Linked DNA regions of Notamacropus eugenii. The protein of the gene in region 2 interacts with the protein of the main gene of each other region in a biochemical or structural test. Links are inferred from orthologs where the notes say so. Each region holds a gene or a part of one and is shown on either strand. Other genes may lie near its edges.

Evidence for each region.
Region 1: the proteins of PRKCZ (region 2) and PARD6B form a complex in vitro, tested with the Homo sapiens proteins (2 studies listed by BioGRID). The link is inferred for Notamacropus eugenii from reciprocal best matches to the Homo sapiens genes PRKCZ and PARD6B.
Region 3: of the proteins of PRKCZ (region 2) and MBP, one has a biochemical effect on the other in vitro, tested with the Homo sapiens proteins (2 studies listed by BioGRID). The link is inferred for Notamacropus eugenii from reciprocal best matches to the Homo sapiens genes PRKCZ and MBP.

The regions. Positions count from the first base shown.
Region 1 is NC_092872.1:516,101,039-516,108,858, forward strand, and holds the start of PARD6B (partitioning defective 6 homolog beta), read right to left. Parts: upstream 3,020-7,820; 5' UTR 2,462-3,019; coding exon 2,396-2,461; intron 1-2,395. UniProt on the Homo sapiens protein: Adapter protein involved in asymmetrical cell division and cell polarization processes. Probably involved in formation of epithelial tight junctions.
Region 2 is NC_092876.1:36,088,440-36,095,942, reverse strand, and holds the start of PRKCZ (protein kinase C zeta type), read right to left. Parts: upstream 3,034-7,503; 5' UTR 2,569-3,033; coding exon 2,498-2,568; intron 1-2,497. UniProt on the Homo sapiens protein: Calcium- and diacylglycerol-independent serine/threonine-protein kinase that functions in phosphatidylinositol 3-kinase (PI3K) pathway and mitogen-activated protein (MAP) kinase cascade, and is involved in NF-kappa-B activation, mitogenic signaling, cell proliferation, cell polarity, inflammatory response and maintenance of long-term potentiation (LTP).
Region 3 is NC_092875.1:205,449,777-205,457,747, forward strand, and holds the start of MBP (myelin basic protein), read left to right. Parts: upstream 1-4,894; 5' UTR 4,895-5,063; intron 5,064-7,971. UniProt on the Homo sapiens protein: The classic group of MBP isoforms (isoform 4-isoform 14) are with PLP the most abundant protein components of the myelin membrane in the CNS. They have a role in both its formation and stabilization.

The DNA.
Region 1 (7,820 bases), on a different chromosome or scaffold from region 2:
AAAAATACATTTCAACTTCAAAGAATACCCTTGCTTAATGGGAAGAAATAGATATCTTCTCCCCTACATTTTAAGGGTCATTCTGAGCCAAGTAATAATATTGATTCCTACGAAATCAACTTTTATCATGATTATGGCCATGGTACATTAAAATTCAATGCCATTAGACAAAACCTGTATAGTAAAACACGACAGAGAACAGTTGTTTAAAATTTAATATATTTATATGAAAATAGAAAAAAAAAAGGCATGGCTACCATTTTTATCATTTTAAAAGTAAATCTGTCCAAGTTCCAGAAAATACCTTAGAAACAATTCAGTTTCACCATTCAAAACAATTTTACTGACAAAAATTTACTTAAAACTTAATATGAACACAGAAATTGTATTGATGCTTTGCCTATCTACTTACCATAAGCTAAGAGAATAACAGCAGGCTCTATATACATATAGCTCTTTACAGCTTAAAAAACTTTCCTAAGAATATGTATCTCAAATTGAGCTTTTCCAATGGCTGTATAAAAAGGAAATGTTTATAAAAACTTTAACATTTCAAATATGCCATTTAAACGGTTTAACTGCAACTACAAACGTGTGAGAATTTTAAATCAACTGGTAGAAAAACAGAAAATCTCTTAAAGTACAATCCTATGAGATACATTATTTCAACATGCATTTTAGGACCCCTATGCAAGGCACCATAACAAATGCTCATAATTGTGGGGTCTAAAACAATTTAAAATTTTCCAATATTAAAGAGAGAATATTTAGATTGAGTATTAATTCATTTTTAAAAAGTTAAAACCAACTGGCTAAGTAGAAGTTAATGCCTATTTCTGAGACCGGACCATACCTGAGAATTTGTCAACCTAAGCTCCCACAAAACCAAATCTGGTGATAGAACTGCAGAAAGGCATCTCAATCATCTTTGTATGGACTCGTTACTGTTATAGCATTATCCAAATTTATTTTTAATCATATTACTGTCATGCCAACAAATTCAATTTGCAATGAGAATTCCATGAAGGATGAAGAGAGAGTATGTTCTTTAAAATCCAAGTCTAAAGTTTGATTTGATGACTACATTTATGCTGATTAAATAGTGCATACAGTTTCAAACCAAACTCTACAACACACACACACACGGAATGGAGTTTCAAATGTTAACTTTTAAAAACAAGGCAAATGTGGATATCCTCGATCTCATTTTAAAGATCAAAAACTTGTAAATACACGGTCATCATCCCCTGAAGAAGACTGCATTTCTTCTTCTATGTATCCTTTAAGAAACTTCTCCCCAGTACCTTCATTCCACGGATCACTACTCTCACTCGGCAAACCGTCGATACTCAGGAATTCAATTATGCAATATTATGTTGCATTTGATACATTACTTTGTATCTACTTTGTAGCTATTTTCACGGCGCTTTCCATGCTTTGGATTCCCCTACAGCAAACTTCTGATAGGCATTACATCTCCCAAAGCCTAAAGCGGAATACGGTAGTTTTCTCACAAACTATGTGATCTTCTGCAGGTCTCTGAGCTTCAGACTCCAGAGTGTAGGTGGGGTGGGAGAGAAGAGGTTGAACAAGGTCTACATGGTTCCATCCAGTTAATATTAGCTGAATTCAAGGAAAGGTTTATTGGGATTGAACTGTCTCTTATGCATGTCTCCTCCTCCAAATTCACAGTTAAAAATCAATCTCATTTAAGAAAGCCTTTCCCACCAAACCTCTGATCACACTTTTAATAGATGGTTTTCAGTGACATCAGTGATAAACCCACTACTCAGGTTCAGTCGACATCTTAATTAACTAGTTTCATGGCTCATACGCTGGCTTGTAAATAGTTAAATAATTTCACGTTTTAAGTGTTTGGGTTTTGTTTCTTGGGTGTTCTCAACAGACCAAAGTTCTGCTGTGAAGCATTAGTGAAATTTTAAAATTCTGTTGTGATGAGTTAATACTCTCAAAGAGTAAACAGATGACAATACCAGTTAAGAGACAGGACCTCATTTTGCTACGATAGGAAGCAGATCGAATTTGAAGTCCATTTCCTACTCCCCGGCCGGTGAGCGGGGGCACGGCGAGGTGGACTCAGCCCAAGAACCCAAGCCCAATCAAGTTCTCCCCTTCCATCTGCCTCTTTCACTCGGGCGTGATCCCCTCCTTCCTACTCTCACCTGCGGGTTACGAGCTGGGGGAGGGGAGCGGAGGGGAGGAATGCTGGTCAAGCTCCGGCGAACAATACTAGATCCTCGCCAGTCTGCCGGGGCAGGGCAGGGGCAGGCGGGCCCTCCAGGTTCCTCCCCGAGTTCTCAGCCCCGGCGCCGGGCCATCACCCCCGCCCTCTCCCCAGTCTTGCTCCCGCAGACTCCCGGGGCCCCGCACCCACCTTGCTCTTCACCTCCATGGTGCCCAGGCAGCCGCTGCCCGCGCCGTGCCGGGGAGTCCGGTTCATGGTGAGCGCGGGGGGGAGGGGCGGGCCGTCTGCCCCAGGCGGCCTCCTCTCCCGGGGCGAGGGGGCGACGGAGAAAGAGCGCCTCCGGCCTGCGCCGCCCGGTTGGGGGCGCGGACGCGGCTCAGGAGATTCGAGCGGGAGGAGGGGGCGGCCGCGAGCGCTCAGCCTCGTCCTCAGCGGGCGCGACCTCGCGCGTGCCCCTCACGCACCTGCAGTTATCCGGGTGTGGGGGGCGGGGAGTCGCCACGACTGCGGTGCGCGCGCTCACCTGCCGGCCCCGACTCCGGAGGCCCAGGAGAAGCCGAACGACTGACTCCTCCCGCCCGCCCAGGGGCCAGAGCCGCGGTACACAGCCGAGAAGCTCTCCTAGTTGACTGGAATGAAGAGGAAGGGAAGGAAAGGAAAAAAGAGGGAAGGGGAACGTCACGCGCCCCTCCCACCCCAGCGCCCGCCTAGAGACGCCCGGGGGAGCACCTGAAGAGCGGGGGCGGTCTCCACCCCTTCCCCATCCAACCCCTCCTTACACCGCTGTTAAGCAGGGAAGTAGAGCGCATGCGTGGCCGCTGGAGTTTCCGCTGCAGAAGCTGGAGAACGGGGGAGGGGCGGGGGTCTGTGCCGGAAGCGAGAGCGCACCTGGAGGCGCCAGCCCTCGGGCCGTTCTCCCCTCCCCCCTCCCCGCCCCCGAGGCTGCGGGGGCGCGCTCCTGGCCTCCTCCGGGCTGGGGTTCTGGGACGTGGGCGAGTGAGCACCTGCGGTGGAGGGAGGCGCTTAACGCCTTGGAAAGCGCTGTAGAAGTGTCACCTGTTACCCATGGAGAGAGCCGGAGCCTCGGCTTCCGCGGGACGGCCAGGGCGAGAGCTGGGCCCCCGAGCGCTGGGGCCGAGCCGTCGAGTCTCCACACCCCAGCCGCCTCCCGTTTAATTGGAGGCGTCATTTATGACGACCGCTCCCCTTTTGGAGGAACTTGAAAATGAATGCCCCCTGGTATTTAATGGTTCACAGGTTACCGCGGCCAAATAACTCATCCTCTGGGCATGAGCCTTTGCCCGCCTTGCCGGTAGGCTGCTCCTGGGGTGGCACACGCGCAGTTGGTCGCAGGGCCTTCGTATTTGACAGGCCTGGAAGACCCTCGCTACCTGAGTTTAGACTTTTCGCCTAAATTTTGAGCCGCTCCCCGTTGCTAACACGCTGTGTTTTTCCTCCCAGTCCCTCCTCAGTCAGTTCCCTTCCTGGTGCTTTAAAATGCTGTCTTAGCACCTTTAGATATTCGTCACTCCGACCACCAACCCCGACCTGCACTTTTCTAGACTGGACCATCCGGGCCATGTTCTTTGGGTTCAGAAATGTCCGCTATCTTCTAAGTTTCCCTGGTAGAAATAGAACCTATTTTTCACCAACAAATTAACCCTTATCTGTCATCCTGGAGGGGAGAGAAAACCGGAGACTTCTAGAAATGTTTCCCAAAGGGCAAGTTCCCAAACTCCAGAAAGAAGTCCCAGGGTCATTTGTACTTGGACCAACAAATTCTCATGTGAGGTTTATTAAAGATGACTGTGGAGTGGAAAGAATGCCAAACTTGAAATTATGGAAACTAGGTTCATACTCTAACTTTAATTATGTGCTATCTGTGACCTTGGACAAGTTACTTTGCATTTTTAAGACTCAATTTTCTCATCTGTAAAATGGGAATAATCCTATCTTATGGGAGAAAATGTTGCATAAGCATTAAGTCTTAAAAAGTTGCAGAAATGTTAGTTATCATTACTGTGTGCAAAGAACAGTACTAGGAAATACCAAATTTAGCTAAGAGTGTGTCCTTCCTAAATAGTGTTTACGGTTTTGTACCTTGGTGGGAGGGATAAGCCATAAACTGGTATAGCAGAGATTCACCATATTCCTAGTTAAGTGTTTTGGAAAAAAGGATAAAACAAAGATAAATTGCTTTATCTGGGTACTTCCTTAGTTTCAGGTGAGTTATTCCATCGGTCCTGCAGGATAGCAAGATCTTCTAGGTTAGGGACTCCACCTTACCTGGAGGGGAATAAGAAGGGAATTTGCCCCTTGACCTTTTTCACTCTTTCTGCTAACCAGTGAGAAAGTTTCAAAAGAACAGCTCGAACAGCTTTGTGATTTCCCTTAGTTTAAAGAGGTCTAGAGGAGAACTCATAATTTAAAACCACTTGATTTTATATTTCCTACAGCTAGGCTCTTGGGACCTCTGTGTTGTTGTTTAGTTGTGTCCAACTTTTCATGACCCCATTTGGGGTTTTCTTGGCAAAAGTTATGGGAGTGAGGCAAATGGGGTTAAGTGATTTACAAGGGTGACATAGGTAGTAAGTGTCTGAGGCTCGATTTGAACTCAGAAAGATGTCTTCCTGACTCAAGACGTGGGCTGTATCTACTGTGCATCCAGCTGTCCTAGCTGCTCTGTACCTTTAGCCTTAAAATGAGGGCCTTAAAATGAGGGTTGAACTGGATGATCTTTAAGGGTCCTCCCTTCCAGTTCTAAATCTGTTCTAACCTTGTAAGGTGGATTTTTTTCCTTGGATCTCTGAAGTACAAGTATTATTATCATTTTTGAGATAACTCTTAAAAGGTTCTTGGGAGGGGCTCTACATTCCTAAGGGAGGAGGGAAGTATTTGGATCTCTTAAGAAAATTCTTCCACAGCATTTCTGCTTGCCTAGAGGTCTCCTACCACTGCTCTTCAGAGCTTAGGAGAGGAAGTGAGCTGGAGCCCACATAAGTAATTAAAGACCCTGGTTTATGACCTGCTCTTCTCACCTAAATATAAATAGGATTTGTTTCATTCTTTGTATGTTTATCTCATGTACCTGGCACTCTACCTGGCATATTTAGGGACATAATAAAAGCTTATTGATTTATTGATTCATTGATTTGGGGCTGGGGTATGGAGACATTTGGGCTTCTTAGAAATACTACTCATTTGGCCTGGTAACTTGGGAAATGCATACTGGTTTTGTAGAAGCCCACCTATTTCCCTCTCAAAATATACCCTTAAGCCAACAGATCCAGGAGAAAGAGTCTTTTGAGAAAGCCTGTCCAGAAAGTATGGATGGTGGTTTATAACTGTGTTTCAGAACCTCATGTTATCAATACTGATTTATCAGAGTTCTCCTAACAGGAATGTACATAAGCCAGCCTCGTGTGGGCATTGCATTCCTGAAGGTGTTGTCATGCCCCCTCAGGGTGTGGTTTCCCTTACATGGACTTTCCTTTCTAGATGCAAGGGTAAGGCTTATGCTTCCTGGTTCTCCAAAGAGGAATTCACTGAAAGGCTTGCATCACTGTGTAATTAGAGGTGTAAAAAAATAGTTTAAATTTGATAAAGGGGAGGAGGGACCATCCCCTTCCAGGTCCTTTTCCTATTACAGATTCAGCCTGTGATTCAGCCTTTCCCAAGCTATTCAAAGCTCTTGAAGTTATGAGACTGACACTAATCTACCTTCATCCAACCCTCCCCCAAATCCCCATTCACCTCTACAGTAGAAATCTTATATCCTGTTCTTCATTAGAGTACAGCTATTGCATAGTAGGTACTCATTTCATCTGAATGAGTGAATGAGGTCAGAGAGAGACTTACCCTTAGTGAATTTTAAATCAATTCAACAAATATTTATTAAGGATCCTATTTCTGGGTCCTCCACAAGGACAAGATGCAAAATAATCCCTGACCTTAAGGAATTTACATTCTACCAGGAGATATTACAGTTATACAAATAAGTAAATGTAATATAATTTCTGATACCACTCAGCTCCACTAAAATTATTCGGTTTAAGGCATACTGCCAGTCTTTTATCTGCTAAATCTCAAGGTATTAGTCCTCGTCTTTCTGCAGCTTTTGAAACACTTAACCTTCTCTTCCTGCATATTCTCCCTTCCTTGGGTCTGCAAGAGATTTCCACTCTCTTCTAGTTTTCCTGCTTGTCTGAAGTTTCTCTCTCAGTCTCCTTCACTAGATCATCATTCATCATATCCTGCTCCCCATGTGTGGGGCCAATTATCACCTATACGCAGAGACTTCCAAATCTGCATATCCAACCCTCTTTTCTCTCTAGGGAAACCCTTCCCTAGCCAACTAGCTGCCAGAATAAATCAGTGAAAAAGCATTTATTAAGCACTTAGCTTGTGTGAAGCACTGGATATGCAATTAAAAAAATTAGACGAAACAGTTCCTGCCCTCAAGAAGCTAAAGCAAGGTTCTAACCCACCACCCTGGACTTAGGGATGATGAGCGTGGTCATCAGTTAATTAAATGATACACCCTAACTTGGAATAGTAGAATTGAGTGATTTTTGTCCCAAGAGATGGAGATGGAAAATGGGCTAGGTTATGTTGAGGGAGGAAAAGGGCGGGATACCATTAAGATGGTGCATCTGGATAAGCTAGATACGGTAAACTCTCACCAATGATTAGAAGCCCCTGGATCAGGGCAGGACCTGGAGTGACTGAGGAGAGGTGTTTCCTGGAGCATATCTATAAGCATCTCAAACACAAAGTCCAAAATAGAACTCTATATCTTTACCCACTCTTCTAACCCCTATTTCTGTTTCAAGCATCACCTTCCTTCGTATTACTCATATTAACAACGGAGTCATTTCCCATTTTTCACTCTCCTTCACAATGGGCTCAAGATTCACTAGGTCTTTATTGTATCTAGGATAAAATGTGAACCTCTCTGGCCTTTTGAACTCCTTAAATACCTAGCCCTGATGTGTATTTCTACAGTGATTTCACGTTGCTCTCTCTCATGCACCGTGTTTCAGCTGAAATGGCCCACTTGCTGCTCCATGAAAACTAATCATTTGCACAAACTAACCTCCCATACCTGAAATGTTCTCCTTGTTTACCTCTACCTCTTGGATTCCCTAGCTCCCTTCTACACTTAATTCAAATGCCAATCCCTCTAAGAAGCCTTTCCTGATCCTCTTTAAATACTCTCCCTCATGCCAGAAAATTACTTTATTACTTTGTATTTTTTGTTGTATTACTTTGTATTAATTGTGTGCACCGTATTCGTCTCTTCCCTCCCCCCCATAGAAGCTCCTTAGGGGCAGGACCTGGTTTTGGTTTTGTATTCTCCATGCTTAGTGCATTATAGGAACTTAATAAATTGTTATTGAATTGAGAAGGGGAGGAGATAGAGAGGGAAGTTGGAATCTTCTGGATCCTGTTAAGCTAGAAGGGAACCTTTGACTCATGAACTCAAAATCTTTTGTTTTACAGATGGGGAGGCTGAGACCTAAGTGGACTGATTACTCAGACTCACAGAGCTAATAAATATCTAAGATTTACTCCAAGTCCATCATTTTATTCACTAAATCCCACTGCTCCTCAG
Region 2 (7,503 bases):
TCTACAAAATAAAGACCAGTTAATTTCAAGAGGGAGTAAGCCTTGAAGGAAGCTAGGGATGCTAAGAGGGATATGGGATGTTATGAGATAACATTTTATATAATATAATACTAACAATGGAATTCATCCGGAAGGCTTTCTCTTTCGGATTGTAACAAGAATTAATTTCCAATAAAAAGGATTTGTTTTTAAGAATAGGGAATAATTTTGCATTTCCAAAAAACATTTTCTGATTCTAAAAACTTTTTTTGAAGTTTTAGCAAAGTCTAATTTTAGAAAGGTCACCAGTGTATTCCTTAAAGAAATGAAATGAATGACCAAAATGTGAGCCCTTCACGATGACCTGTGTGTGCCCCTTTCCTAAGAGGATAATAAGCTTTCTTCTGTCGTTTTCCAAGCCAAATACCAAGCTGAGATTTTCACAAACAAAAAAAATATGAATACTATTTTCAGTCTCTTAACCTCCTCAGATGAGAGGTGTTCTCTCCAAAAGATTGCTACTTGTATCTGGCTGGTTTTTGGACTTGGGGGAGGAATTGAGAGCTCTTAACTTCAAAAATGAGAAAGTGACTGAGAATGAAAGGCTTAAAAAAAAAACAAACAAACCTCTCCCTTTTACTGAGCCAAGGGTCCAGCTTCAGGAGAGTGGATTCAATTCATGGGTTAAGCTCACTAGCTACAATACGCCAAGGAATCCAGGGTCAGACTCAAGGAAGAAATCTAAACCAGTGGAAGGCTACTGGCTGCATACAATTTCCTTACAGTGAAAGGACTAGACTACTTATTTTTCTCCCCTTCCCAGATTAAAGTGGTAAAAAAAAAAAATAAAAAAAAGAAAGAAAGGGAAAAAAGAGAGAGAAAACCATCTCCTATAAACCTACTCTGCTAAAGTACCAACTAGCCCATGGCACAACTCTGGGGACTGAATCAAAGGCCTAGAGATGCAGGTGAGGAGAAACAAAGCAGGTGCTTTCAATGTGGGGGCAATGAATTTTGGTGGTGTTTATTTTGATAACTATTTCAATAGAATTGGTTTCCTTTGGAATCCTCTGAATTTTATTTTATGCATTTAAAAAAGATGGCTCTGAAGAGGGGACCATAGGCTGGCCCAAGAGGTCCAGGACACAGAAAAGATTGAGGAAAAAGGAATATCTTAATACCCAGCGTCCCAGGTCATGTACAGAACATATGTGACAGTCCCAGACTGGAAGGAACTTATATAGGATCATAGATTATGAACTTGGAACTGAAGAGACTCTTGGGGTCATCTGATGTAGCTTCATCATTTTACAAAATAAGGAACTGAAATAAGGCCCAAGGAAACGATTTGCCCCAGATCGTACAAGTAATGAAGCATAGTATTCGAACCCAAGTCCTCTGACTCCTGAGAACTTCAGTGACCTAAATGCGCTACGAATATATCACTCTACTAGAGTAGAGGCTAGGCAAAGATACAAAAACGCTGTATGCTAGGCTAACTGCCAAAAGCCAGCTCTGATGGAGGGTATGGAGACCCAGCCTTAGAGTCGGGCAGACCTGGGTTCAAGTTCAGCCTCGGATACATACTGGTGGTGTGATTCTGGGCAAGTCTAGGAATGTCTCGGTGCCCCCAGAAGAGATCTGAGCTGTAGATGAGGTGAGAGGGAGGGACAGAGACAGAGAACGCTATAGGTCTAGACAAATGAAAAATGAAAACAATTACAAAATCCAGCTGGAGAATACGGCTCCTTCTTACCCTGCCCTCAGTGGCGCACACTGTATTAAATAAGGCATAAGGATGCACCTGTGTCTTCACCAGTACGAGGTGAGGAAACCTCCCGAGTCACCAGTGCCGGATCGCCCCTTCTTGGCAATTCAACAGGTACCTGGAGCCTCGGGAGGTCAAGTTGCTTGGGCTCAGGATGCCAAAGTCAGGAAGTACCTAAGGCGGGATTTGAACTCAAGTCGTCAGGGCTCCAACCGACTACACACACCACTCGGGGGCTTCTCACGGATTAATCGCTCACCTCGTTCAAACTTTAAGTTTTGCAAAGCTCCTTACTCGGTCTTTGTAGGGGCAGAAACAGGTCTACAACGACCAGCTTACAAATCATCGGCCCATTTCACAGGTAAACCCGGACACTCGGCTCCGCCTAGCCTGCTACGGCTCCTTTCACCGAGCCCCGGCCCCGGAATGCTTTGTTCATGAGTCACTGTTACATTTTGTAACTAAGACTCAGAAGAAAAAGTTTAGCTCCAGTAATCGCTACAGTTTACTGCTCATTAAGTCGCAAAGGGGAGACTTTGAAAAGACAGCCCCCCCCCCCCCAGCAGGGACTGTTACACCTCCTCCTTCTCCGCCCCCCCCACTTCCCTCCCCCCGTTTGTTGCCAAAGCACCGACCCGGGAGAAGGGACAAACTTTCCACGGCTGCCCAGCAAACAGACGCCAACTTGGCGAGGCTTGCAGGGGAGGGCTCTGGGGAGGGAGTGCGGGGCAGTGGGCGCCGCTGGCTCACCCGTTGTAGTGTGCCTTAATGCGAATGATCTCCCGGCCCACGTTCGTCTTGGACCCCATCCTGCTCGGCATGGCAGTAATCCCAACCAGCGGAGTCTGCGTCCGGAGTGCGCGCGGAGAGCGGTGGCCGGCAGGGGCTTCAGGGCTCAGGGCTTCGGATCGGGGCTCGGAACCCGGCTCGGTGGCCACGGCACGCTCTCCATTTCACCGCCTGGCCCACTCGACGAAACAGAAACACCAGGGCCGACGCAGCGCCCCGAGAGGGCAACCCCCGGGAGCGGGCGCTGTCTGTGCCCGGAGCTACCTGGAAGAAGGGGGGAGGGGAAGGAGGGCGGGGAAGAGCCCCCCCCGGGAAGTTTTCCCGACTCCCTTCCCAAATATCCAAGCCAGGAAACGTCTGCCTCTGGGACAGGGCCACAGCGAGGCTAGGACGTCCAGGGTCTCCAGGGAGTGAGTCTCCCCCAGGTCACATTTCTAACCCAGGAGCTAAGAAGGAAGCAGAATCCTACCTGCAGGCTGGACTCCCGGAGGAGGAGGGGCAGGAACAAGAGGAGGAGCAGGAGCGGGAGGGGCCGGAGCAGGAGGAGGGAGGGGCAGGTTGGGGGCTGAACCTACTGGCTTCCTTTGGCGGAGGCCCCCACCCTCTCCCCGCCACCAGAAGTGGGGAAGTAGGGGGCTGGGCAGGGATTAGACACCCAGCCGAGGGGGGATGGGGGGGACTGGACAAACACATGATGATGACCCAAAGAGGAAGGACTCTGCTCTCCGAAGTTCTCACTGGAAAGCTGCACTAACGACCTGAGCTGGGGACAGATGGGTCGCAGGGGAAGTGCAAGAAAGGGAAAATGGGACCGAGGGATTCCTGAAAGAGACAGGGATGTGGAGTGGGGAGTTCCAGTGGTAAAAGGAGCCGGGGAACTAGGGGGTGACCTCCAGAATAAAAGGAAATTGGGAGAAGAGCGGATTAAAGGTCCGGAATCCGTGTGGGTCAAAGCTGGGGTGCAGATAGGGGATGTTTTAGAAGGACTGGAAATGGAGGGGGTGGGGGTGGAGTTGGAATCCTTGAGTCACAAAGGGGAATTTGCCTGCTGGTATGGGTCACGGATTTGGGTATGAAGCTAAAGGTCCTCAAAAGCCATCCAGTACTATCCTATCATTTTACGAATGAGGAAACTGAGGCCCAGGGATAGAACCCTGGGGTGGGGAAAGTCCAAAGAAACCAAGAGGAAGGGGCAGGCATGTGGAGAAAGACGAATCGGGGGAGGTGTTTGGAAGACCCTGGGGTAAGCGATGTTCTGGGGAAGGGGGCAAGCTTGTGGGAGACGACGAGGTGGGAAGGGGATTTGCAGTCCATTAGGTAAATGGGAAACCTTCAGGGAGGATGAAGTTAGGGGGCTGGGCATGGGGTGGGGACATCCGGCCTGAGTACGGGATTAGGGGGAGGAAGCCTCGAGAGGGGCTTCGAAGAGATCCTGGGGGGTAGCTTAGCGGGGAGTGGAGGACACACATTTACTGAGGCTGTAGCCCCTTCTCCCTGACCCCTCTCACCCACTGAGGGCGCCGCAGAGGAGAGAACCCAGGCATCACCCCCGGCCCTGCCCGACAACTCTGCTCCCCTAGCCCCAACTTTACTCCCCGGAAGATAGTCCAGCCGGGAAGAACTTGGCCTGTGGCTGGTCCGAGCGCGCGACCACAACCCTGGGGGAGTAGGGGGCGCGCGCGCTCGGCCCACGCTAAGAAGGAGGGGCCGAAGCAGGGGGGACTGAAGTTCGCTCAGAAGGGCTTGAACCCCACCCCGTCTAGAACGGTCCGAACGTGGCGGATTGGCCGAGTTCCGAACGATCGGCCAATAGGCGCGCGGGCATGAGCGGTAGGAGGAGAGAGGGAGCAAAGTACCTGGTGACCAATAAGGAAGCCCATCCGGATGGCCACCTGGAGCCAATCCTCAAGGGGATGCCGCAGGCTCAGAGCCAATCGGAGAGTCGGACGGGCTACCTGCGTTCGGCTAGTCCCCTGCCTCCTCCCAACGCAAAAGTTGAACACCTGCAACCAATGGGGCAGCGGGAACTCAGATGGCTGGAATCTACCTAGCAACCTAAAGGTGGAAGGGGCGCCAGAGGAGAGTCGGCTGGGGTGGGGGGTGGGAGGGACAGGAAGGACCAGAGTCGGCCGTGGAGGGTCCTGAATTCTCCCCAGGATGTACAATGTTGGGCAATCCATACCATTTTAGACTCCCCTACCTGGAAGATGGGCTGGGTTCAAATCCCAGCTCTGCCACTGCCTGATTGGGGGGAGGGGTGGCATTTTGATTTTCTGGGTCTCAGTCTCCTCATCTGTAAAATGAGAGTTCGTCTTGATGCTGAAGGACCCTTCCAGCTTGGAATGTCTCTGCTCCCATGAAGGGTTCTGAGTCATATCAGGGAATCTCTAAAGAATGTGAGCTCTGGAGATTGAGAACCTGAGATCAAATACCAACTCTGCTGCTGACCTTGAGCAAGTCACTTTGGCTAGGTAACCTAAGAATCCTTCAATCAATAAACATTTATTAAACACCTACTATGTGCTAGGCACTGTGCTAAGCTCTGGGGATTCAATTCATTAAATATTTGTTAAGCATCTAGTATGCTAAGTGGTAGAATACAAAAAGAGCCAAACAAGGCAGTCCTTGCCCTCATGGAGCATCCAATGTAATGAAGGAGACACCATGCATTATACATACATACAGTATCCCATACAGTATACAAATACTGTTTATTCAAAGCAACTTATATACAGGATAAATAGGAAATAATTAACAGCAGGAAAGCACGAGACTTAAGAGAGGTTGGGGAAAGTATCCTGTAGGAGGTGAGATTTTAGCTGGGACTTAGAGGAAGCAGAAGAAAGACAGTGAGTGTTGCAGGCCTGGGAGAGAGCCAGAGAAAATGCCATAAGCCCAGAGGTGAAGGGTCTTGTTCAAAAAACAGCCAGGAAGCCAGTGTCATTGGACTGAAGAGTCCATGGTGGGGAATAAGGGGTGAGAAGACTGGAAAGGTAGGAGAGGGCTAGGTAACAAAGGACTTTGAATGCTAAACAGAACATTTTGTATCCTGCTCCTACAAAAAGAAGCAAAAGACAATCCCTCCTCAAGAAGTGTACAGCTCTGAAGGCTGCTGGGTAGGTAGCATGCTGGACTTAAGATCCTAACATGTCTGAGTTCAAATTTTCTTAATTTCTCTTTCCCCATCTATAAAATGCAGGTTATGGTGATGGCGCCTACTGCCCAGGGTTGTAATGAGGCTCAGATGAGAGAACATATGTCAGCTGTTTATATTAATAATAGGGCTGTAATCTTTCACAACTTCTATTCCTGTGATCTTTCCATTGTGCTACATTATCTTAGTACAGCCCAGGCACATAGTAGGCACTTAATAAATCTATTCATCTATTTCATCTTTTTGTTGTGAATTTGGGGGAGGGGAGGGCATCTGGGTGGTCCAGTGGATAGATTCAGGATTCTGGAGTCAGAAAGACCTGAGTTCGAATCCAGCCTCAGACCCTGGGCAAGTCACTTAACACCAATTGCTTCTAAAAACAATCATAGTAATAACCCTTACCTTCACTTACAGTCTCTGGTAAGTGACTTACAGACAATCACACAGCAAGTGAGGTCAAATTTGAAGTCAGATCTTCCTGACTCTTTATCTACCAACCATCTAGTTACCTCTAGAGAAAGGTTACCAGGACTTGACTCTATTGATTGTCTACCTTTAAGAAAGTGATGAAGAAAATTTTAATAATGCAAATTAAAGTTTTAAGGATGTCCTGAGTATATCCTCCTGCTCCCCCATCAGAGAACTGAGTTAAGCATTTACCAGCACACCTCTTCTTTCTCCCCATATGTATCTTCAGTAGTCAAGGTCTCTCCTAGTTCTGACATTTGGTGTTCTAAGATCGTACCAGCTCTGTGCTAGTCTAAAGTTCTTCCTGTTGTAACTATTCCTGTTCTCTCTTTTAAGATCCCCGCCCCCCCCCCCCCCCCCCCCCGCCACCACCCCCCCTCCAGCTCTGATATTCATACAAAGCACAGAACACAACTTGACCATGGACCTACAGTATACTTTCAGGGTCAATGCTTCCTCCCCTGAAATAGGAAAACCATTGCCTAGTTATTAATTAACCCACTACTGAGTAATCTGGGCAGGGGCAACCAGATGGAGAGACCCTAACAGATACCTCAGTGTAAAGAGCAGCTCCCAGAAGAGAGGGCCCTGACTCCAGCCAGAACCACAGGCAGGCTTCCTGGTGTTAACAAACTAGTTCCAAAACAAAGCCTGCTGGGCTTAGATGGGCTGATGGGACCAGATTTAATGAGAACGCCATTTCAACTTCCTCTGGAAATTATGTCATTTTGAAAGGCTGTTTCATTCTGCGTGCGTGTGTGTGTGTGCGCGTGTGTGTGTTTTAAACCTTCATAACAACAAAATACAGCAGACAGTACAACTGACCCTGCCTTCAAAATAAGGCCACTGGAGCTGGAAGCTAAAAGCAGAGGGAGGAAAGTAGCCAAGAGGAAAAAGAAAGCAAGGGGAATTTTTTAAAGCTACAAACCTGCAACAAATTAAAAAAAATAATAATCCCAACTGAACACAAAAAATAGAAACTCTGAAAATCAAAGAAGAGATCAATAAAATCAAAATAAAAACTTCAGAAAATTGATAAATAAAACCAGGGGCTATTTTTCAGAGAAAAAACTAATAAATACAGAAGCCATTGATCTTACTTTTAGAAACAGAGGGAAAAGTGAAATTGACGATATTAAAAAGGAAAAAGAATCATTTTCAACAAATGAAGAGGAAATCAATAATAAGCATTTATTAAGTGCCTACTACATGCCAGACATTGTGCTAAGCCACTGGGGATCCAAAAAAAGACAAAAGACTGTCCCTGCCCTGAAGGAATTTACAGTCTAATATGGGAGACAACATGTAAATAATGATGTACAAACTAGAGACAGGATAAATTGGA
Region 3 (7,971 bases), on a different chromosome or scaffold from region 2:
TCTGCTAACACTTTAAAAAGAGAATGTTATGATTTCATAAGTGTCAGGAGGAAATGACTATAAGCTGGCAGGCGAGGCACATGCAAAGATGACTACTGGCACATGTGATTTCTATTTACAGTCACTGGCAAATTAGCAGAAGCAGTGTGGAGAAGGACAATGCATTGCATTCATTGTCCCCTGCCCAGTGTCAACTGCCAAGTGTAGGATGGTAATGTTGCCAACCCTCTTTCCTCACTGGCCTGAGTCACTCATATAGATGTCATTTGGACAGCTCCAGAGTGAGTGGATAGCAACATAAATAGAGAAAAGTTGGAGAAGGAGAAATATAAGGGAAAGCCAAAGGATCAAATTTTTGGAGAAGGAGCCCAGACTAGGGAAGCTATCATAGAGAAATCCACTTCAGTTTTCTCTAGATCCTTGATGGTATTTACTAGTAGTTAGGGGCTACTAGGTGACTCAGTGAATAAAGTCTCAGGCCTGGAGTCAGAAAGATGAGTCTTCCTGAATTCAAATCCAGCCTCAGACACTTAGTAGCTGAATGACTTTGGGCAAGTCACTTAATCTAATTTGTCACCATTTCTTTATTAGTAAAACGAGCTAGAGAAGGAAATAGCAAACCACTCCACTATCTTTGTCAAGAAAATCCCAATAGGGATCTGGAAGAGTTGGATCTGAAACTGAAACTAGTAGTTCAAGGGTCACTTAGATTAGGGATCATAGAAGTGTGTAGACTCTGTTTTCTGGTCTACTTGACTCCCTTATATTTGTCAGTCCCTTTCAGACCTTCCTAACACTGACTTGAACTGAATTCATAAAGTTAATATGAAGCCAAATAAGTAGAGGTGAACCTATTGAACAAAACTGTAAATTTGGTCTTTGGTATTTCCATCATCTCTTTTTTCTAGCGTTCTTGCTTCCTTATATGATGACTCCCACCACTAGCTCAGATATCAAATAGCCTAATGCTTTCTTACCCTTATCAAAACTTCTTCAAAGGAAAGAAGGCAACATTATGCAGTGGAAAACACTGGAAGTCCTGCATTCTAGTCCTGGCTTTGTCACTAAGGAGATTTTGACCATGGGCATATAATAATGTAATTTATCTGTGTCTCAGTTTCCACAACTGTAAATTGAGGCAGTTGAACTATGTAAGTTTTAAGGTCTCTTCTAACTCTAATAGTCTATGGTCAGATAAATTATTCATACTAAAATGTAAATAGCTGCTAAAACTCCAAGCATTGTGGAAAGCATGTCTGATTTGAAGTCAGAAAACCTGGGGTTGTATCCCAGCTCTGGCTTACTACCTTTTACCCTGGGCAAATCAATCACTATCGCTAGAACTCAGTTTCCTCATCTGTAAAAGGAGGGAGAAGGTTGCTCTAGATGGCCTCTAAGGTCCCTTCTAGCTTCTAATCACTAATCATATGATTTTATGTTCAAAATATTCCCCTTAGGAGTATTTTTCATTTTAAAAGTCATCATCAGGGACAGCTATCTAGACCAGGTAGCAGGAGAGGGTTCCTGGGGACTTAGGACATAGAAAACTTTTGGCAAGTTTCTTGAATTCCTATAAAGCTCCTACCAGTGTAGTGCCTTCTAGAATCCTGCCCCTGACTCTAATGGTGTGACCATGAGCAAGTCCCTTGAACCTGTTTCTTCACCTGTAAATGGAGAGCATACTTGAAGTACTTGTCTCACAGGGTAATTGTGAAGATAAATGAGATGGTACATACAAACCACCGCAAACTTTAAAGCGTTAGATAAATGTCAGTTATTGGAAGAAGAAAAAGAAGAGTCATTTCTGACTAGGAAGACTTCATGGAGGAAGTGGCGTTTAAGCTGGCCCTTAGAGGAAGTTTGGGATTCTAACTAGGTGAAAACAAAAAAAGGAGGGCTTTCCAGGCACAGTGACAAACTGGACTAAAACTTTGAATGAATGGAAGGAAATCTCCAGGCTAGGGATCAAAGGAAAATCAGATGAGAGTGGAATCTGGACCTCTCCATGTTAGGAAGCTCCTTTCTTGGTCAATAGTTTCTCTTTATAACCTACCTACCTACCTACCTATCTATCTATCTATCTATCTATCTATCTATCTATCTATCTATCTATGCATATATATATATATATATATATATGTATACATATATATATATATATATATTCTGAGTCTATAAGTAGCTGAGGACCGAGAAATCTCCTCACAAACTCTCTATTTTGCCTGTCCTTTGACCTCCAGTTCTCAACACTTTGGAGTCTTAATGCTACCTTTTCTGCTTATCTTTAATATAATGGAATTGTTAATCCTTTTTTCCCCAACATTCCTTTCTAGTACACTAATAATATTGAGTGTGCTTTTTAAAAACAAATATTCCTAAAGAAAAAAATGAAACAAAATAGTATGCAATAGTCATTACAAAGGCAGTGGTAATCAGAAGTGTTTATTTATATTCACACATACACATACATATATATGTATACACACATATATACATATGTACGTATGTGTGTGTGTATGTGTGTATATGAAGCTAGCCTGCATGGCTGGAATGTCTTCCAAAGTTTACTTTATCCTATCTAACTCAAGTCTCATGGCTGTCATTATTCTCCAGTTCTCAGAAAACAATTCCTGCCCTCAGGACTCTGTCAGTCTGGTGTCACTTTGGCTGACTGGAAATTGGCACTTTAACTACAGAACATGTTCCCCTCTAGGTTCAACAAATTTAATAAATTTTAAATGGTTTATGCCACTACACCCTCAGAATACAAAGATGAAAAGTGAGGCAGTTCCTAATGGAGGCATAGACCCTTACATAATTAGGCGATAAAAATACTGGATTGACTCAGAACAGCATTCATTTTATTTTACAACCTAAATCTGAATCTAATCCAATTCGAAAGCCAAGATCATTGGTCAATACAATTTATACATTCCTATCAATAGCTAAGTAACCTTTATCCTTACTCATCTGGAATATATGGGGGTAGGGAGGACTGAGGGGAGGGAAAGGGTAGGAACACTTGGATCATCAAATCAAAAATATTATAGTCACTTTGAAACCCGAATTGATAAAATAACCCTTTCCTTTCATGATGGATGGTGAGTAGTGCAGTTTGAAGAATGGTGCACAGGGCCAGGAGCAGAATTAGAGGATGCTGGAAGGGTGGCATGCAGGTTGTGGAGATCCTCACTACCTGAATAAAGAGTTTATCCTAAGATATCCAGGTGGAGATTTTCATGAGGCAATTGGAAATGCCAGTTTGAAGTTCAGGAAAGAATTTCAGGGCTGTAAATGTGGAGGGTAATATGGGGTGGGGGTGGGGAATGGGAACTGATAAGACTGGTAAAAGAAAATGTAGAGAATTAAGAAGAAAGGACAGAACTTAAACTATCAGGAAATAGAGAAGCCACTAAAGGAGAGCTAGAAGATACAGTAAGAAGAAGCAATAAGAAATGTAGAATGAGGAAATGTATGTTGTTCTATGAAGAAGGCAAGATGGGAAAGAATATTGAGGATCAAGGAATGGTCAGTGATGTTAGATGGTACAGAAAGGTCAAAAAGTGATAACTCCTGAGAAAAATTATTTGGATTAGACAACAAAGTGATCTTTCAGAGGGCAGTTAGCAAAACATAGTGGGGATAAATACCAGTCTTTAAGGAGCTGAGGAGTGGTGGGAGGGCAAATGGAATAGACTACTGTTTGAAAAAGTTTGGTAAGAAGAAGAGAAATTGGAAGAGTCCATGAAAGCTTTTTTGTTTTGGAGAGGTCTGGCCACGTCGAGAAAACTTGGGGCGGAAGGGGAGGAAAGGCGGAGAAGTAGCCTGTGGCAAGGAGAAAGTTTAAAGATGAAGATCAAAGAGGCGTTGAACACTTGCCTTGGCCTCTCAAAAAGGAGCTGACACTTTCTTCCCTTTTAAAATTCAAGTGCTTCCTACACAAACTATACCTGGTAACTTCTCTCAATATGACAGAGTAGAAAAGGTGAGGTAGAGGGGGTCCTCATGTACGTGCACTGGGTGGATCAGATAGGAGAAGGAAGATGAAAGGGCTTATTTAAGCTGCAAGGAGGGCAGAATTGCCAAAGGGAACTATTTACAAGGTGGGCTATCCCTAAACTGAAGGAGCGGTCCCAGTCCTACAGACTCCTCCATTTCTGGGACCCAGGATTGGGTAAAGGAACGTGCTAAATCCCCCTTATTTACACAAGGTAACTGCACCTAGTAGCTCTGCTCAGAGCTGGAGGGAATAGCAGCCGGAGACGCAGACTTCATGGGGGGAGAGGGGGACTGCTGGAGGAGTCTCAAGAGGAAGGAGGCATTCTGGGTCGGAGAGGCAGAGCACAGTGTGTCTAGGTGGGGCTGTCTCGGGAGGGGAGTCAGCTACGAGTCAGCCCATGTGTTTACCTTGTTCACAGGAAGCCGTAGGGTAAAGAGGAGGGGAAGAAGAGTGAGTGAGTGTCCCTGCTAGAGCTGCCTGTCAGTCACCAGCTGTTCAGCTCTAGAGAGCAGACCTAGTCTTTGAGTCTCCCCTCCAGGGCCAGAGCGCTAGACTGGGGCTGACACTGCGGAAGGTAGCTGGGCATCCAGGAAAGCAGGGTGGCTAGTCCCCCAAAGCCTACACCTTCCGTCTACACTTTCCCCCTTCCTGGACCTAAACGCCAGGGAATAGCACCCACACACAGAGATACACACACACACACACACACACACACACACACACACACACACACACAGATATACACACGCGCGCGCGCGCGCGCGCACACACACACACACACACACACACACACACACACACACACACACACACACACACACACACACACACACACACACACTCCCCACTCTCCCCAAGCTTTTCCTGGCCCCTCCTCCTCCTGTCTCTGCTGGTGCACTGCCTTCGCCTCCTCTCCTCTCCTCTTCACCCCACCTGGGGGCGGCTCTGCTCCAGGGGGAGAGGTCAGCGTGCCTCTCCCCCCCCGCCCCCCCGCCACCCCCTCGCCTGTGGATGCGGTAGCCCCTGGAAGCAGCCGGAGGGAGCGAGGCGAGCTGAAGACCCGGTGCGTGAACAACAGGGGTAGTAGGGGCTAGGGGACCTCCAGGGCCCTTTGTCTCCTAGCTCATCTTTCCCTGGCCCTAGGCGGGGAGAGGGGGCGGGAAACTGGCCAGTGGGGCGAAATAGTGAGAAAGCTCTCTTCGACCTCCCTCGTTTTCTCTTTCAAAGGGATGGGGGCAGAGGGAGGAAGCGATATAACTCTGTCGATCTTCCGAGCGCGGATTTCCAGTGGGGAGGGGGGCGTCAGAGAAGGACCATTTGCCCAAGCCGGGGGGGAGGTGAAATTGTCCCAGCGGTGTGAGAGCGGAGGCCGATACCTGAGCAGCAGCAGCGCAGGTGGCCGGGTTGGAACGGGCACCACCACCACCTCCTTTTCCCGGGGCTGCAGGGTCCGGGCAGGTGCCGGCCCAGCTCCGAGACGTTTCCTGCGTGGTCTCTGCCCCTGACCACACCGAGAGTCCTTTTTCTGGATAAAAGGTGTTTTGTAGGAGGCAGGCCGACTTTTCTTCACGTAGGTGCGGCGGCAGCTGCTCCAGCTGGAGGAAGGGTCTCCTGTCGTCCGACCCAGCTGGGACGTCGGGCGGGAGGGTGGGTTTGCTTGCCAAAGGGGTGGATTTACCAAGTGTCACTTTGGGGGAGGACCGGTGTCCCCCGGCCTGACCCTGCCTTTGGGAGCTTCTCGCGGGGGAGGGGTTTAGTGGAGTCTGGTGGTTGGCAAATGTTTAAGGGATGTTGCCTTTCACTGCTACAAAAGACATTCCTATCAAGAAACAATGTATCCGAGTGTTTTGTTGGTTTCTGTCTATTTATTTATTTAATTGCAAACCTGTGCTGCGCGTTCCTCCAAGTCCAGAGTTTCAGTTAAGGAGCCGCAGCCTGGGTTTCTTGTGTAGCTTCCGGTTTCAGATTATGGCGTGTTCTCACTGCTCCGCTGATCAGTTACCAAACTTCTCTCTGGCCCAGGAGCTTAGCAACTGGAACTCTGGAGTAAACCCTTTCCTCCCGCTCTCGGCCAGTGCCCCAGCTGCCCTCGCTGGCATCCCCGACCTCTGCTACCTCTGCTGCTTTCCACACCTGCAGTACCGACTCTAGGGGCTACTTTCCCTAGGACTCCTGACAAGGAAACTTTTTCATTCGTGATTCTCCCTCTTCCCCTCTACCCGCCCCCCCCCCCCCGCGCCCCGATTTCTTTTGGTCTTATTCAACCTAGTCCCTGGCATCCATGAGTCAAAAAATAGCTTCCCAAGGGTGTGCCTGTTTTGTTTTTCCGTTCCTGTCTCTGACAGTTCTTGGGTTTCGGTAGATTCCCAAGAAATCCATTTGCTTGTGTTTCAGTCATTCTGCTTTCACAAAGGTGTTGTAAAGATGTTGTGTAGGTGTTGTAAAGACCTGGTGGCAGTACCCTGTCAGGGCCTAGTGTAATCGAGTTTTTTAGAAAGCTTGATGAGAAGGAGGTGGAAATTGAAGTCCTTGGAATTGTTGGAATTCATTATAACGCTGGAAGGACGAATTCTCATTCTTCCTCTGTTTCGCTGTTACATTATGAGAATCAACATGTTCAGTTTTTTCCTTGAATCTGTGTATGTGTGTGTGTGTGTGTGTGTGTGTGTGTGTGTGTGTGTGTGTGTGTGTGTGTAATTTTTTAAAGTTGAAATATGCCCCAGAAGGGCTGTGAACTCCAGGTGATTTTATTGTTGTTGAGTCGTTTCTGAATCTTTATGACCCCGTTTAGGGTTTTCTTGGCAAAGATACTGGAGTGGTTTGCCATTTCCTTCTCATTTTATAGATGAGGAAACTGAGGAAAACAAAGTTTATGTGACTTGCCCAGTCACAACTGCTAGTGTCTGAGACCGCATTTGAACTCACTTCCTGACTCCAGGCCAGGCACTCTCCACTGCGCCACCTAGCTGCAGGGGAAACCGGTGTAATAACGAGATAAGAGGTTTGAGTTGGAAGACCCGAGGCTTATCACCGACACCCCCCAACTTTCCGACCCTCCCCCCGCCTTGTACATACGTTGAACAAGTTTATTCATATTTCTGGACATAGGCTTTCTCTTCAGTAAATAAAGGAGATTCGACTACATGACCTACAACAGACCCATAGATAGAGTGGAAAGAGCTCTAGAGCCCAGGGTTCCGAAGACTGGTTCTACCACGGTGTTGCGAGATTGGAAAAATCACTTTACTTTTCTGGACAGCAGTTCCTTTATCTATAAAATGGGGACATTGGACTAGATCATGTCTTAAGTACCTTCATTTTCTATTGGTTTAAATATTAGGGTTTCTAGATTAAAAATTCTGTGATTTCTATAAATGGCTGTCTCTAACAAAGTGGTATAACCCAGAAAATAGAGGTGCAAAGTTAAAATAAATCATCTTTAAATAAAAGTTTAATTTATCAGAATGCTCAGAAAATGTACTGTTCTCAATTCAACAGTCATTGCAGCATATTTGTAATTTTAACTATTGTTGAAAAAATGTCTGTATTAGTCCACTTTCTTCTTTTAGCAAATAGGGAAACTGAAAATAAGTCTTTCTTTGATGACTTTGATGATAATTTTGAGCACCAGTTATCATTAGACAATTTTGTTGCTTTTGTCAGAAAGAAGACAACTTGACAGCTAACATACTGGGGATTTAAATTTTTAAAAACTTCCCTTGGCATCTTCACTTCCTTTACCTGCTACCTGCTTTTATTTTCCACTGGGATAGGTTAGTTACTTTCACACAGTGGGTGATTAATAGATGTTTGTAGAATTGAGTTGTTATGAATATTAATTTTGGCATATTGTCACATACAGTTTCTTTTCCAGAATGATTAAACTATTAGTCTGATACTATTTTATAGCTTTATTATTCTAAAGGATGCCCCTTTTATCTACCAGAATAGTTAATAAAGAAGAAAAAATA